Saccharomyces cerevisiae S288C: one gene and its partner. The protein of the gene in region 2 purifies or fractionates together with the protein of the main gene of each other region. This does not show direct contact. Each region holds a gene or a part of one and is shown on either strand. Other genes may lie near its edges.

Region 1 (3,954 bases), on a different chromosome or scaffold from region 2:
ACAACGATAGAGTTAGTACAGCCAGCATGGCTATTCACGATGATGATTATGGGTCCATCCAAAATTCAACAATTGGGGATTCTGGGTCAATATTACGCCCTACTGCCTCCTTAACAGAAATGATGAGTGGTGGAGCGGGGAGAAGGTTTACAAATAATGACATGGATTCAATTGTAGTGAAGAGAGTGGAGGGTGTAGATGGTAAGGTAGTAACTCTTCTTGCTGGTCAGTCGACCGCTCCACAGACCATATTCAACTCAATCAATGTACTGATTGGTATTGGGCTCCTGGCGTTACCTCTTGGTTTGAAATACGCCGGCTGGGTTATAGGACTTACTATGCTTGCAATCTTCGCCTTAGCGACATTTTGTACTGCTGAACTTTTGTCTAGGTGCCTAGATACAGATCCAACTTTGATATCTTACGCGGACTTGGGATATGCAGCATTTGGTACAAAAGGGCGCGCACTAATTTCTGCTCTTTTCACACTTGACCTACTGGGTAGTGGGGTGTCCTTGGTGATTCTCTTCGGAGATTCTTTAAATGCTCTATTTCCTCAATACTCCACCACTTTTTTCAAAATAGTTTCATTTTTTATCGTTACACCCCCGGTTTTTATACCATTGAGTGTTCTATCTAATATCTCGCTTCTGGGAATCCTTTCAACAACCGGAACTGTGCTAGTCATTTGCTGCTGCGGACTATACAAGTCGTCTTCTCCAGGTTCATTAGTTAATCCGATGGAAACGAGCATGTGGCCGATAGATCTAAAGCATCTCTGTTTATCTATAGGTTTATTGAGTGCCTGCTGGGGAGGACATGCGGTTTTTCCCAACTTAAAGACAGATATGAGGCATCCAGATAAATTTAAAGACTGTTTGAAAACTACCTATAAGATAACATCGGTTACGGACATAGGTACTGCAGTTATTGGCTTTTTGATGTTTGGAAATCTTGTTAAAGATGAAATTACTAAGAACGTTTTGCTGACGGAGGGATATCCAAAATTCGTTTATGGTCTGATTTCAGCGCTTATGACTATCATTCCTATCGCAAAGACCCCATTGAACGCAAGACCTATCGTTTCTGTATTGGACGTTCTGATGAATGTGCAACACATAGATGAAGCGGCCAGCGCCATAAAAAGAAGAGCTGCGAAAGGCCTTCAAGTATTCAATAGGATCTTTATTAATGTTGTCTTCGTTTTGATAGCTATTAATTTCCCTGAATTTGATAAGATTATCGCATTTCTGGGGGCCGGTTTGTGTTTTACAATTTGCCTAATTTTGCCGTGTTGGTTCTATTTAAGATTGTGCAAGACAACAATCAAACCATGGGAGAGAGTGGCTTGTCACGTAACCATATGTATTAGTGTCGTGTTGTCCACATTAGGTGTTGGTGCTGCAATTATTTCATAATCGACGAGGGGCATACTTACTCTACTTAAAATTCATTTACATTAGCTCTGTACTTCTGATAATGAAAAACCATTGCGTAATATACATATTTTCGTGTAGAATTATTTCCATAAAATATTCACCGCCTTTTCTGTACTGGCCGCCGGCATGCGAGGGAAGCAGAAAATTTTCAATTTTGCGATGAGCTCTTGAAGAAACAGTGTTTTGTTATGAATAAATGATGTGTGCACGAAAGACCCAAGGAAAGTCGTATAATGTCAGAACTCTTTGGAGTATTGAAATCTAATGCTGGCAGAATTATTTTGAAGGACCCCTCCGCCACTTCTAAAGATGTTAAAGCATATATAGATTCAGTTATCAATACCTGTAAGAATGGGAGTATTACAAAGAAAGCAGAACTGGACGAAATCACTGTTGATGGTTTAGACGCCAATCAAGTTTGGTGGCAGGTCAAACTAGTTCTTGATAGTATTGATGGTGATCTAATTCAAGGAATTCAAGAACTCAAAGATGTTGTCACGCCTTCTCACAATCTCTCTGATGGTAGCACCCTGAACTCATCATCCGGGGAAGAAAGTGAACTAGAGGAGGCAGAAAGTGTTTTTAAAGAAAAGCAGATGCTCTCTGCTGATGTTTCTGAGATTGAGGAGCAGAGTAATGATAGTCTTTCCGAGAACGATGAAGAACCTAGTATGGATGACGAAAAAACCAGTGCAGAGGCAGCTAGAGAAGAATTTGCGGAGGAAAAAAGAATTTCTTCTGGGCAAGATGAAAGGCATTCTTCACCCGATCCTTATGGTATCAATGATAAGTTTTTCGATCTCGAAAAGTTCAATAGGGATACTTTAGCTGCAGAAGATTCTAACGAAGCTTCTGAGGGGAGTGAGGATGAAGATATAGATTATTTTCAAGATATGCCTTCAGATGACGAGGAGGAGGAGGCTATTTATTATGAAGACTTTTTTGACAAACCCACAAAAGAACCTGTGAAGAAGCACTCTGACGTAAAAGATCCAAAAGAAGATGAAGAATTGGATGAAGAAGAGCATGATTCTGCCATGGATAAAGTGAAATTAGACTTATTTGCGGATGAGGAAGATGAACCGAATGCTGAGGGAGTGGGAGAAGCCAGTGACAAGAACTTATCTAGTTTCGAAAAGCAACAAATAGAGATTAGAAAACAGATAGAACAATTGGAAAACGAAGCGGTTGCCGAGAAGAAATGGTCTTTGAAGGGTGAAGTAAAGGCAAAGGATCGTCCCGAAGATGCATTGCTCACTGAGGAACTTGAATTCGACAGAACTGCAAAGCCTGTTCCTGTTATAACAAGTGAGGTCACAGAATCATTAGAAGATATGATTAGACGAAGGATACAGGACAGTAACTTTGACGACCTTCAAAGAAGAACCCTGTTAGACATCACACGTAAGTCTCAACGGCCTCAATTTGAATTGAGTGATGTTAAATCCTCGAAGTCGTTAGCAGAAATATATGAGGATGACTACACACGCGCTGAAGATGAATCTGCATTAAGTGAAGAGCTTCAAAAGGCACATTCCGAAATATCAGAACTTTATGCTAACTTGGTATATAAATTGGATGTGCTTTCATCAGTGCACTTCGTTCCTAAGCCAGCAAGTACTTCTTTGGAAATTAGAGTTGAAACACCCACTATATCGATGGAGGATGCTCAACCTCTCTATATGTCGAATGCCTCTTCTTTGGCTCCTCAAGAGATATACAATGTCGGTAAAGCAGAAAAGGACGGAGAAATTCGCTTGAAGAATGGTGTTGCAATGTCTAAGGAAGAATTAACCAGAGAAGATAAAAACAGATTGCGCAGGGCTTTGAAAAGAAAAAGATCGAAAGCTAATTTGCCAAATGTAAACAAAAGATCTAAAAGGAATGATGTTGTTGACACTTTGTCAAAAGCCAAGAATATTACTGTTATCAATCAAAAGGGTGAAAAGAAAGATGTTTCCGGTAAAACGAAGAAGAGCAGATCAGGGCCAGATAGCACAAATATAAAACTTTGAACACGCCGAAGAAGACTTAGTTTGTATTTAGGTAAAAAATTATTTCTTCATAACTCTGTTCACCCAGCATTTTTTATGGAATATCGACCTTGTAATGTCATTAACCCCTTAAAGGACCACTTAAAGAAAATGAAGTGCATCATGAAATATTCATGACGAGATGCGGAACATATACACTCATAAATACCAGAAGAATGTGCTGAATAATTTTTTGTTGGTAATTGGCTGTCATTTAAAGTATCGTTGAAACAAGAGGTATTGGAAGATAGCTAATTTTAGTATTATTTATGACGTTCTTTCCTGGATAAATGTAGATGTATATACGTAATAAAATGTTAATTAGTAAGTTATATGCTTTCCATATAATGTTCTATCTTAGTCTGCATAACTTGTTTGCTTGTTTTTGTTTCTAACGCTTCTCCATACTGGGCTAAGAGATTTTTTATTTTTTTTGCAGCAGTCGGCCCTGATATCAGCTTTTCTCCTAGTGCGCCATCAAA
Region 2 (4,153 bases):
TCTAACGGCTTTTTCTAAGGAGTGTCTAATTGCCATGTAATCTATTGGGGTGGAAGGAATGCGTTTTTCGTCCAGCCAATCTGGTGTGAAGTAACGGGTGATCTTGTCAGTCTTAGAATCGTATACGTGGCCCGGTGGGAATGCAGTGATAGTGTCACAGTCGTCAGTCAAACATTTTAGTTCGGATGCAAAATAAACGGTCTTTGGAGAAGCGGAAGAGCGTCCCATATATAATGTCGTAATACCGATTGGGTCTCTGGCTGCCACAATACGATCTTGTTTAGCGTCGTAAAGAGTCCAAGCAAACATACCATCCAAGTACTTAGGAGCGTCGATATCGTGCTTTAAGTACATTGGGATGATAGGCTCACAGTCACTCAGTGTTCCAAACTCGTAGTCTGCGCATTCTTCTCTTAATTGAATGTGGTTGTAGATTTCACCGTTAACACATAGCATGTACTCTCCGTCTGAAGAAGTAATTGGTTGAGCACCGGATTCCACACCGACAATGGCTAGTCTTTCATGAACAAATATAGTGGAGTTCTTGATAGCATTACCGGACCAATCTGGACCACGGTGTCTGATTCTTTTTGATAGTTGTAGAGCCTTTGGCTTATATCTATGCACGTCTTCGTGCCTGAAAGCGGCGAAAATACCACACATCTTAAGTTACGTCCGATTTATATCCTTAGCGTAAAGCAAGTTATACTTTTTCTTATTTTATTATGTAAAGGTAAGAAGAGTATGCGATCAGGGTCCAAACAGAATCTGTCTCCTAGTGGCGTTCACTATAGGGTTATATATGCGTATCTATAAATGCGCATAAATTCAAGAACGAACTATTTGTCATCTCGAGTGGGCAGCAAATTTTCAGTTTACAGAATGAGTCAAATGTTACATGAGTTAAGGCTCTTTTCCTTGTGCTCTCTCTCTCTGTCTGAGCCTGCCAAATGATAACAGTCATAGGCCCTGTACCTAATTTGCCGTCCACGGCAGCAGTACTGCTGCCGTGTGATTGGTGGATAGATAGTGCCAGCGATAAGAAACGGTAGTTGATGCCCGAAGGTGCTTTCCAGCGCAGAAAGACAGACCCCAGGCGTATTTGCGCTCACGTTGCACGAACACGGGCGGCATTCGTGATGACAATAGATTTAATTTAGATATGCACTGGTTTCCACAGAGACCAATCGACAGTCTTCCATGCAAGGTCACTTATTGTTAACGGCAAGTTTCCCTGGATGTCCGCTTTAAAACTGTTTCGGCACGGTTTAAAGGACACAAGTTTTGACTAGTCTACAATTTAAGAACATATAAAAAGCTACTTGTGTACAGATGAGATGACTACTCCCAAGTCAAAAACAACAAAAGAATGAAAGAAAAAAGAATCAGAATTTTATAAAAGCGTCCTTGTCATTCTTAAGAATGTAACAAGATCAATGGGTTGCGCAGGAACCGCTATCTCCATTAAAACCTCAGATCGCTCCGAGAAGAATTGTTCGATTTGAAACGCAAATAATATCATCGTATTCTTTTAAAAACTTGGAAGGTCATTGGTTTCTTTAAATGAAACCTCCAAAGAAAATCTAACGCGTCTTGGTAAAATATATGTACCGAGTGTTTCGCTTTTTATACCTGTTAAATGAAAATCGAAAAAAAAGAAAAAGAAAAAAGTTTTTCAGCACTTCTCTACGGGTAATCCTCGTATTTGAAGGTTTAGGGCTATTCTTGAAATTTTTCACTAAAATTTTCCAACTGAGAAAAAAAAAAGTGTATTACGGTTTTGATGAGATGAGATGAGATGTAATTATCATCCTCTATTGCCATGAAGAGAGATCTATTAAAAAGAAACGTCAAAGAATATGGTATTGCTTATATCAGAAATTAAAGATATTGCCAAGAGGCTGACTGCTGCGGGTGACAGAAAGCAGTACAACTCCATTATCAAGTTAATCAATGAACTAGTGATTCCAGAAAATGTTACTCAATTGGAAGAAGATGAGACAGAAAAAAATTTGAGATTTCTGGTTATGTCGCTATTCCAGATATTTAGAAAGCTGTTTTCCCGCGGCGACTTGACCCTTCCTTCGTCCAAAAAGAGCACATTAGAGAAGGAACAGTTTGTTAATTGGTGTAGAAAGGTGTATGAAGCGTTCAAGACGAAGCTGTTAGCTATCATTTCGGACATACCTTTCGAAACATCACTTGGGTTAGATTCGCTTGATGTCTATCTTCAACTTGCAGAGCTGGAATCAACTCATTTTGCATCTGAAAAGGGCGCACCATTTTTCCCCAATAAAACATTCAGAAAGTTAATCATCGCCCTATGGTCCTCGAACATGGGTGAAATAGAGGATGTCAAAAGCTCGGGTGCGTCTGAAAATTTAATCATAGTAGAATTCACGGAAAAATATTATACGAAATTTGCAGATATTCAATACTACTTTCAATCAGAATTTAACCAACTATTAGAGGATCCAGCCTACCAGGACTTGCTTTTGAAAAACGTTGGTAAATGGTTAGCTTTAGTAAATCATGACAAACATTGCTCTAGTGTTGATGCAGATTTAGAGATCTTTGTACCAAATCCCCCACAAGCCATAGAGAACGAGTCCAAATTCAAGTCCAATTTCGAGAAAAATTGGTTATCCCTTTTAAACGGCCAATTGTCTTTACAGCAGTATAAGTCTATTCTGTTAATTTTGCATAAGAGAATAATACCTCATTTCCACACTCCAACTAAACTAATGGATTTCCTTACTGATTCCTACAATTTGCAAAGCTCTAATAAAAACGCCGGTGTTGTTCCGATCTTGGCTCTGAATGGCCTTTTTGAATTGATGAAAAGATTCAACTTGGAATATCCAAATTTTTATATGAAACTTTATCAAATTATAAATCCAGACTTAATGCATGTTAAATACAGAGCAAGATTTTTCAGGTTAATGGACGTATTTTTGTCATCAACACATTTATCCGCCCATTTAGTAGCATCTTTCATCAAAAAGCTAGCCAGACTCACCCTAGAATCACCACCCTCTGCTATTGTCACCGTGATTCCCTTCATCTATAATTTAATCAGGAAACATCCGAATTGTATGATTATGCTGCACAACCCAGCCTTCATTTCCAACCCATTCCAGACACCTGACCAAGTGGCGAACTTGAAAACTCTGAAAGAAAACTATGTAGATCCCTTCGATGTTCATGAATCGGACCCTGAGTTAACTCATGCACTGGATTCCTCTCTGTGGGAGCTGGCGTCATTGATGGAACATTATCATCCTAATGTAGCCACGTTGGCGAAGATATTTGCTCAACCATTTAAGAAGCTAAGTTATAACATGGAAGATTTCTTAGACTGGAACTATGATTCTTTGCTCAATGCAGAATCTTCAAGAAAGTTGAAGACACTTCCTACGTTAGAATTTGAGGCTTTCACAAACGTTTTTGATAATGAAGACGGCGATAGCGAAGCGTCATCCCAAGGTAACGTCTACTTGCCTGGGGTAGCATGGTGAAAGCGAAGATGAACAACGAAGTTTTAAAAGTGTGTATATATACATTTATATCAACAGAGTCATCGATTTCCCTTGTTTGAGATGTAAAAAAAAAAAAAAATAGAAAATAGTAAGTCCCTGTTATCAATTTTGCCTAGGAAAAAAACCTGGGTCAAAAATAAATGGTCTCTAGCGGGATCGAACCGCTGATCCCCGCGTTATTAGCACGGTGCCTTAACCAACTGGGCCAAGAGACCATTCTATTGTTGAAGATTGTTTAATTTAGATAAACTTTCATAATGTTGAGAATTGCTTATTGCGATATATAAAGTTGAACCAAAGATCAATTTCTTTTTATGTATTGTAGAGAATTACAATTTGAAAAAGAGCTAAGGGAAATTGCTATATTCTAAAAGAAGTGCACAAGTACATTACCTTGAATTTTTATATTTATTCATGATATATTAATATTAATATATCGATGGTGAAGGACACCACACCTGTATTTCTTTGATTGAAAACAATTTTGTAACATTGGCTGCAAAAGTTTTTGCAATTGATATGAAACTATATGATAATATAGAATGCAAACAAAATTCAATTGCAAGGAGGAGGGAAGATATAGGGCCCCTTTCTCGCTTGACATAGACTAAATA

What was found. Proteins that work in one complex are often made in the same cells at the same time.
Region 1: the proteins of NOC4 (region 2) and MPP10 purify together in Saccharomyces cerevisiae (affinity purification with mass spectrometry; 5 studies listed by BioGRID, with this or other methods). This does not show direct contact.

What each region holds. Positions count from the first base shown.
Region 1 is NC_001142.9:437,193-441,146, forward strand, and holds MPP10 (rRNA-processing protein MPP10), read left to right. Parts: upstream 1-1,672; coding exon 1,673-3,454; downstream 3,455-3,954. Other genes in the region: AVT1 (Avt1p), read left to right, coding at 1-1,418; MRX12 (Mrx12p), read right to left, coding at 3,802-3,954. UniProt on the Saccharomyces cerevisiae protein: Involved in nucleolar processing of pre-18S ribosomal RNA. Required for the early cleavages at sites A0, A1 and A2 during 18S ribosomal pre-RNA processing.
Region 2 is NC_001148.4:819,130-823,282, reverse strand, and holds NOC4 (ribosome biosynthesis protein NOC4), read left to right. Parts: upstream 1-1,859; coding exon 1,860-3,518; downstream 3,519-4,153. Other genes in the region: ASN1 (asparagine synthase (glutamine-hydrolyzing) 1), read right to left, coding at 1-663. UniProt on the Saccharomyces cerevisiae protein: Involved in nucleolar processing of pre-18S ribosomal RNA and ribosome assembly. Has a role in the nuclear export of 40S pre-ribosomal subunit to the cytoplasm.